Pelodiscus sinensis: one gene and its partner. The protein of the gene in region 1 interacts with the protein of each later gene in a pairwise test. Links are inferred from orthologs where the notes say so. Each region holds a gene or a part of one and is shown in the gene's direction. Other genes may lie near its edges. The genes, in order: INPP5K and MAD2L1BP.

Region 1 (3,916 bases):
CTAAATCGTTGATTAAGATATTGAAGAGAACCAGTCCCAAAACAGACCCCTCGGAATCCTACTTGTTATACCTTCCAGCAGGATTGTGAACCATTAATAACTACTCTCTGAGTACGGTTATCCAGCCAGTTATGCACCCACCTGATAGTAGCCCCATCTAAGTTGTATTTGCCTAGTTTATTGATAAGAATATCATGGGAGACCGTATCAAACGCCTTGCTAAAGTCTAGGTATATCACATCCACCGCTTCTCCCTTATCCACAAGACTTGTTAGCTTTTTTTGATAGGATATCATATTGGTTTGACATGATTTGTTCTTTACAAATCCATGCTGGCTGTTCCCTATCACCTTGCCACCTTCCAAGTGTTTACAGATGATTTCCTTAATTACCTGCTTCATTATCTTCCCTGGCACAGAAGTTAAACTAACTGGTCTGTAGTTTCCTGGGTTGTTCTTATTTCCCTTTTTATAAATGGGCACTATATTTGCCCTTTTCCAGTCTTCTGGAATCTCTCCTGTTTCCCATAGTTTTCCAAAGATAATAGCTAGAGGCTCAGATGCATCCTAGAATACTCAAGGAACTGGTAGAGGAGGTATTTCATCAGGCCCTGGTGACTTGCAGGCATCTAACTTCTCTTTTTTTATTTTATCTTCTAAACCTACCCTCTTCCCATTAGCATTCACTGTTAGGCATTCCTTCACACTTCTCGGTGAAGACCAAAACAAAGAAGTCATTAAGCATCTCTGCCATTTCCAAGTTTCCTGTTACTGTTTCTCCCTCCTCACTGACCAGTGGGCCTACTCTGTCCTTGGTCTTCCTCTTGCTTCTAATGTATTTATAAAAAGTCTTCTTGTTTCCCTTTATTCCTGTAGCTAATTTGAGCTCATTTTGTGCCTTTGCCTTTCTAATCTTGCCCCTGCATTCCTGTGTTGTTTGCCTATATTCATCCTTTGTAATTTGTCCTACTTTCCATTTTTTATAGGACTCCTTTTTTATTTTTGTATTAAGTTAATGTTCAGTTATAAACTTCTGAAAGAACAACCATAAAGTTTAGTTCAGATTTATGAACATTTCAGAGTTATGAACAACCTCCAATTCTGAGGTTCTACTTTACTTTGCAGAGCTGTCGTGAGGATAGTTACATTAAAGATTGTCAGTTACTCAGATACTTCCATATGGGAAGCTGTGTGAGAACCCAAGGTAGATGGAAATTAGCCGCTGAGCATTTTGAAATCCATCTGCAACATAGTAATGTTGAAAAAAAGTCTTAGATACAGTTTGTAAAGTTATGTGGCAGGGCTGTGCTTTTGGAACCCCTCATCTAAAGCTCTTGGATCCTTATGGCTTTTTGTGCTGTGTTCAGGTAGAATTGAGGAGTGCACATGCCTGGAAGTCGGGGATTACATTTCTTCTAACTGCAGATTGATTCAAATCACATGCTTCCATCAGCAATAAATTCTCTTAAACCTCACATTCTTAACAGAGTTAAATCTGTTGGGAAGAAATAGTTTAGTGTATGAGTTGGGGCAGGACTTATATCAGCTTTTATGAGCAGCAGCAGTGTGTGACCAATCTGAATGCTGTATTTCTTTCAGCTTTTCTACACCCACCTATATGTTTTTACCTTGGAATAATGCTGAATTTCACATGAGTTAAAATTTGAGCTGAAGAACCCTGAGAGTGTGCCACTGAGGGTTTTCTGGTATTCAGGATTTAAAGGGTAATGTGGCTGATGCTTTGCAGTGTAGTTGTGTTGCTCTTTTGCCTCGATGGCATCCTTGAATAGTGAAGATGTGCTTCAGGATTCGTCATCCCTCTCCCTGTTTGACTTAGAAAGCCTGCACCCTTTCCGTAGCCGCTCTGCAAGTTTGAGCAGTACAGGGTCCAGTGGTCGCTTACAGCTCCGACAGCGAGTGGCACAGCTCATGGCTTGTGTGGAAGACATCAGCTCAGACGATGAGATGCATGAGGAAGTCTCTCGCACTCTTGATGAGGCTATCCTGATCTGGGGAAAAAAGCTGAAGGACAAGTGCCAAGAATTCAGGTTTCATTCTCTGATTGGCGAGTTGTTATATTTTTGTAGAGCTAGTCAATAGCTTTTATGATGTTCAATTTTGTCATTATTTGTATTTTTTTTTTCACGTATGGGACTTAAGCAGCGGAAAAGTGGATCTTCCCGTGTTCACGTGTTTAAATTTCAGTTTTGTCTTATTGTTTTATATGTAGACTCCACGTGGTAACATGGAATGTGGGCACAGCTTCTCCTCCTCCTGATGTCACTGTCTTACTTCAGCTCAATTCACAGGGCTCAAGTGTGGATATGTATGTTATCGGGTAGGTATGTGATAAAGGATGCTCTGGTCAGTTTTCTACGTGTTACCTGCCAAAATGTTGTTTTTCCATAACTTGCCCAATTCTTTTGAACAGCCATAGCTCCTGTGACGATTGTGAAAGGTGATGAATTGGATTGTAGCATAAGGCTGGAGACTAGTGTCTGTGGATAGAGATAAGGAACATTTTGTGATGAACTGTCTGCTTGATTCCCCAACTCCCATCTTTTTATGTAGCAGAGCTACAGGCCTTATGTGCCTTGATACATGTTCACTTACTCAAATACCTACAAGTTTTAAACATTCTTCTCTTGCTGGCAGTTGTTGACAGCACTGTGTAGTGCAGAGTTTTTAAAGAAGCCAATGAGAGCCAAGTATTTTCAGAGATTCTCCCTTGTATCAGCCAAGGTGTTTCTGTCCTTGCAACAGTCACCTCATGGCAGAGCCTGTTGGGGTTCTTTTCTGCCAAATCACCCTGTACTCAACCTCATTCTGTCTCTTTCCTTTAGCTCAATTGCAGCACCACCTTGTAATGGTATCACTTGTCACTCCATCTTTGTTAACCCTTTTTTTTTTTTTTGTTCAGTCTACAGGAGGTGAACTCCAGGATCATAAATTTCCTTTCTGACTTGGCATTTGATGATCCATGGAGCATGTTCTTCATGACTGTACTCTCTCCTTTGGGTTATGTTAAGGTAACTTTTCAATTCTGTAAATAGCACCTTTTCTCCATTATTTTTCTCTCCAAACTCTGATTATTTTGGGTAACAAGTGCATACTTTGGCAGTTGGTACTGAGTATTTTTGCACAGATACTGATAGTTCTCTCTATATGCACATTTGTCCGTTAGACTTGTAGCCTGCTGGCTTGTTGGCACAGGCACTTTCTAAAGTATTCCTCCCTAACATTGGCAGTCACAGTTTGCGCAATAACGTTTGGATCTGTGGCGTTTCAGTGCTAGTTTTGAAGAGCTGGGAATAATGGCATTTTTTGCAGCTCTAGTACTGAACAATACATTTTCTATCTTTAGGTACTTGTATGGTTCTCATTACCATAGTGTCAGTGCCATAGAACCCATGCCATGAACATCCCCAGTAGTATTGTTTATGCGCCAAAGAGTGTAAATTCCTAAAGGAACAGAGTAGTGAAGAAGTTTATCTCCAGTTTTGCTGTCCATGAGTGGATTTAATTAAACTGTTGTATTCGAGCCCACAGTAGGACTATTTTACTTTTGTCTCTGGAATATTTCTTTCCTCTGTGCATCACTTGGGATCTATAGTATTGTTGCTAATAATATAATCTACTGAGGCAACTGCTTTCATTACAGCCATCTCAAGGAATGACATTGATTTTGATAGTGCTTGGTAAGATTTTTGTTATTTGTAAAATGAGTGGAAATAAACTGTTTAAATATGAAGGAATAAATTCAGCTAATTTCAGAAGAGTTTTTCTTACTAATGTTCTGAGGAAGTGTCTAGAATTTCATAAAGAAACCTTGGTTAGGTAGCTACTTGTAGTCAATGAATTAAGTGAAAGTAAAATGTGGTCAGGCACGTTCTGAAGAGATAATATATTAGCCACTT
Region 2 (3,916 bases), on another chromosome or scaffold:
AGGGTGCCAATGTAGACACAGCCTACAGGTATTCTTGCACAAGAGGCCTAGTGTAGACAGGCAAGTTAATTTCTTGCGCAAGAGAGCGTCTACACTGGCACGGATACTTTTGCGCAAAAGACATCTTTTTTGCGCAAAAGCATCCGTGCCAGGGTAGACGCTCTCTTGCGCAAATACTTTTAACGGAAAAACTTTTCCGTTAAAAGTATTTGTGCAAAATCATGCCAGTCTAGATGCAGCCCCTGGGGAAAAGCAAGGGAGGGAATTAAATGGGTTCCTTATAAATTGGATCCCCCCCTTGCATTTTTGTATACCATAGTATCAAGGCAGATAGATTTATTCTGACACCTTTTAACTTGGCTAGGAGAACAAACCGATCTTGGCTACCATCATGCCACAAACTAAAGGCCAGGTAGAGGTCTTTCTAGTGATCGCTCACTGAAAACAGGAAGAGATGTCAGCTACAGGGTCTTTTTTATTTTTGTTCTGTGTTGAGATCCGCTTGAGTGGAACAGGATCTTGTCAATGGACCCTTGGGTGTGGACCAAAGACAATGACTTATTTTTCTCATACTATTGATGAAACTAACTTGTGAGAAGAAGGGGATTAATCTTCCATAACACACCATTTCCCTGTTTTTAATGTGCATTTCCAGCTGGTTTGCTATAGGCAGCATTGTCTAGTGATTAGCACAGAGGAGAGATTGAAATGCAGGGCTCCTGGAATTTACTTCCCACTCTACAACAACATCACTGTGGCTACGTCTACACGATCAGTTTGCTTGGCAAAAAATATGCTAATGAGAGACTCATTTGCATGAGTTACAATCTCATTTGCATATTTTCTGCCAATCCATTTTTGCGCAAAAACAAACAGTGTGGACGTTACGTTTTCTTTTTGCGCAAGATTCTTACGCCCGAAAAAAGGAGGTTTACCGATCCTGCGAAAAAAGCGGTTTTTGTGCAAAAATAAAATGTCCCCACAAGGCGGGCGGAGGGAACACTAATGTGCCCTAAGAAAAGATGGCGCCGGCGGGGTCACGGCCACCGGAAGGAGCAGGGACGTGAATGTCCCGTGATGCCCCGGGGCGGCGGCCATTCAACTTGGGGCCGGGAGTGGGCAGCTGAGCGTGAGGCCGAAGATGGCGGGGATGGGCCGCCAGGAGCGCGCAGGTGAGGGGCGGGCCCGGGCTCCTCTCCCCTCCCCACCCGCGCCGAGCGACCTCTCCCCTCTCCACGCAGCTGACCTGCTCCAGACCGAGCCCCTGGAGGCCCCGACGCTGACTCCGGACCCCGCCGCGGGATGGGGCGGCAGCGGGGCGGCAGCGGCGCCGCTTCTCCCCACGCAGGGCCCGGCCGGCCGCGCCCCGGGCTGCCGCTCGGTCTCGGTGGTGTTCCCCGGCCCCGTGACCCGGCAGGGCTGCTGCCACTTCGCCTGCGAGCTCCTCAAGCACGTGCTGCACCAGCGGCACCAGCTGCCCCTGCCCTACGAGCAGCTGGCCTACTTCTACCGGCGGGCGCTGCCCCGCCCGCCGCAGGTAAGCCTGGGCCGCCGGCCGAGCGAGAGCCAGCCCTGGATCCTGGCAGCCGGGTGCGTTCCGCGCTTGCCCGGTGAGACGCTGTTTTCCTGGGCTGGCTGCTGGCCGCTACCTCCCCTCCAGCAAATCTGCTTCATTCCTCTGCCTGCGCAACAGGTCAATCTCTGCGGGTGCTTTTGCCTTCCGGGAATCTCTGCCTCCAGCCCCAGCGCTGTAGTGACTTTGCCTTGGGCTGAGGAGGGCTGGAGACCGTTCCCTGCATGTTCTGCAAAAGTCAGCCTACTGTGCCAGGCCAGATAGGCCTTCCCAGCCGCACCCTCCCGAGGTAGGATGATCTGATACACTGGTTCAAGAGACAGCAGTTACAGATCAAAGTAGTAAGGTTTCTGGTTGGTTCAGGCCCAGCAGTGACTGGCTGCAGGGTCTTGGCTGGACTGGCTATCTTTAGGAACCAGTGGGAGATGGGACATGAAAGTGTCTAAGCTCCCAAGTTTGCACAACTAGGATAGACCTTCAGACGTCTCAGAAACAGGGAGAAGGGGAAGTCCATCATGTAACTGAAATAGGCTATTGGTAATAGAAACTTCCATGTGTTATGGAGATGATTATTAAACTCATCAGGATAGCAACACAGGGTATATGGACAGCGTTTCAGAGCTATTTAGTCTGTTGGGCAATAAAACTTTGAAAAAAGATCAGGTGGCTCATAATCTTTCTCACTGAATAAAGTGGCACTGGCTCCCAAGGCAAGTCAGCCTTTTCCAAGAATTGGATAGCTAATCTACTGGATAGCTGTTGTCTTGATTTGTAGCCTCTATCAACATACCTTCTGTATTTCCAGTTGCATGCATTGTTTTTCTCAATGCAGTCAGTGTTTATATTTAATGTGACACAATATCCTAAAGAGAATACACTTCTCTCTGGCTGGTCAAGTAGTTTTATCTACAGATCTTAGAGCACAGCAGAACATCGGCCTCCTAAGAAAATCCAGAGAGGCTGAATGTTGACTAAAATGCTCATTGAGCTATGCCAAGCTGTGAGAGGTTTCTAGCTTCATTATATCCATCTTGATATCTTTTATTTCTACTGACCTTAAATTCAGGAAACACTAGTAATGAACTCATTCAATGTTGGGTCCCACCAAGACACCAAGATTCCTTTTTTCAGGTTTTTAAGGAAAAAAAACCCTTAGTTTTTCTTAAAATATCTGTTCTTTCTTCTGTTGGGTCTGGTGGTTCAAGATGCTAAATGCAGTCAAATACACCACCACTTGCCTAATATTTCAGAATATACTTTTTCCTTGGCAGGATGGTGATGCAATTAAGAAGAAGCCACAGCCTACAGACCGAGGGAGCAGCAGGAAATGTCAGCAAGTGCTAATGGAGCTGGAGGGAGTGTTCCGGCATTTGGAAGCCATATTCAATCTGACCTTGGTTCCCCGGATCCTTATTCTGCTTGGAGGAAATGCCATGAGCCCTAAGGAGCTCTATGAGATCAATTTGGAGGGCATCTCTGTGGGCAATGCTGAGGAGAGCCTGCAAACACCGACCTGTGTTCGTAAGCTTTTCCATTCACTCTTCCTTGCAGATGTCTTCAGTGAGTTACAGGTTGTTCCTGCTATGGGCACCATTGTCATGGTACAGGGGCACCGTGACTGTGGCATTGACTGGTTCCGACCAAAGCTCAACTACAAAGTGCCAACACGAGGGAGGAAGCTGACTGTCAACTTGTCCTGTGGTGGAAACAGCAGTACAAATCCATCTAATCAGCAGGGAATGACTTCTGCCTGGGACAGCTACATATGGTTCCAAGCACCAGTGACACTTAAGGGCTTCCATGAATGACTCATGCTCTCTAGCATTTTAATAGGGCATTTTATAATCTGGTGCTACTTTAGTTAATACGTAAGAATGTTTTTATGATCTGTAACTATACATTCTCTCCTCAGAATCCTATATCCAGGGAATGTGCTACCTACGTGCAGCTGGGGTGTATTTCACTGTCCATAAAACAAAGCTTTAAATGGCCCCATGCAAGGGATAAGCACTAATGCAGTTTTGTTCACAGATGTCAATTTCTTGGTGAAACTGAGTCAGGAACCCTAGAGAGTTGGTGGGAGTAATTCAATTTATGTGCAGCATGCCCACTCACCCCCAAGAATATCAAGGTATTCATACAGCTGTTCTCTAGCTGCTGCAAGAGCAATGTGCAATGTTAATGAATGGATTGGGACTTGAATAATCTAAATTTATGCTTAATATGGGTGTGGCAAAGATTATATAGCAGGTTTTACTAAGCAACTTGGTCTCTCATCTCCTTTACAGTCTGGCAATATCATAAAGATTAGAGAGAGAGCTGAGAAGTTGCTTAGCTATAAGA

Evidence for each region.
Region 2: the proteins of INPP5K (region 1) and MAD2L1BP interact in binary tests that used the Homo sapiens proteins (3 or more experiments, as listed by UniProt). The link is inferred for Pelodiscus sinensis from reciprocal best matches to the Homo sapiens genes INPP5K and MAD2L1BP.

Annotation. Positions count from the first base shown.
Region 1 is NC_134731.1:1,222,452-1,226,367, forward strand, and holds the start of INPP5K (inositol polyphosphate 5-phosphatase K), read left to right. Parts: upstream 1-1,021; 5' UTR 1,022-1,772; coding exon 1,773-2,047; intron 2,048-2,229; coding exon 2,230-2,337; coding exon of another isoform or gene 2,338-2,341; intron 2,342-2,919; coding exon 2,920-3,028; intron 3,029-3,916. UniProt on the Homo sapiens protein: Inositol 5-phosphatase which acts on inositol 1,4,5-trisphosphate, inositol 1,3,4,5-tetrakisphosphate, phosphatidylinositol 4,5-bisphosphate and phosphatidylinositol 3,4,5-trisphosphate.
Region 2 is NC_134713.1:139,343,555-139,347,470, forward strand, and holds the start of MAD2L1BP (MAD2L1-binding protein), read left to right. Parts: upstream 1-958; 5' UTR 959-1,141; coding exon 1,142-1,537; intron 1,538-2,844; coding exon 2,845-3,381; 3' UTR 3,382-3,916. UniProt on the Homo sapiens protein: May function to silence the spindle checkpoint and allow mitosis to proceed through anaphase by binding MAD2L1 after it has become dissociated from the MAD2L1-CDC20 complex.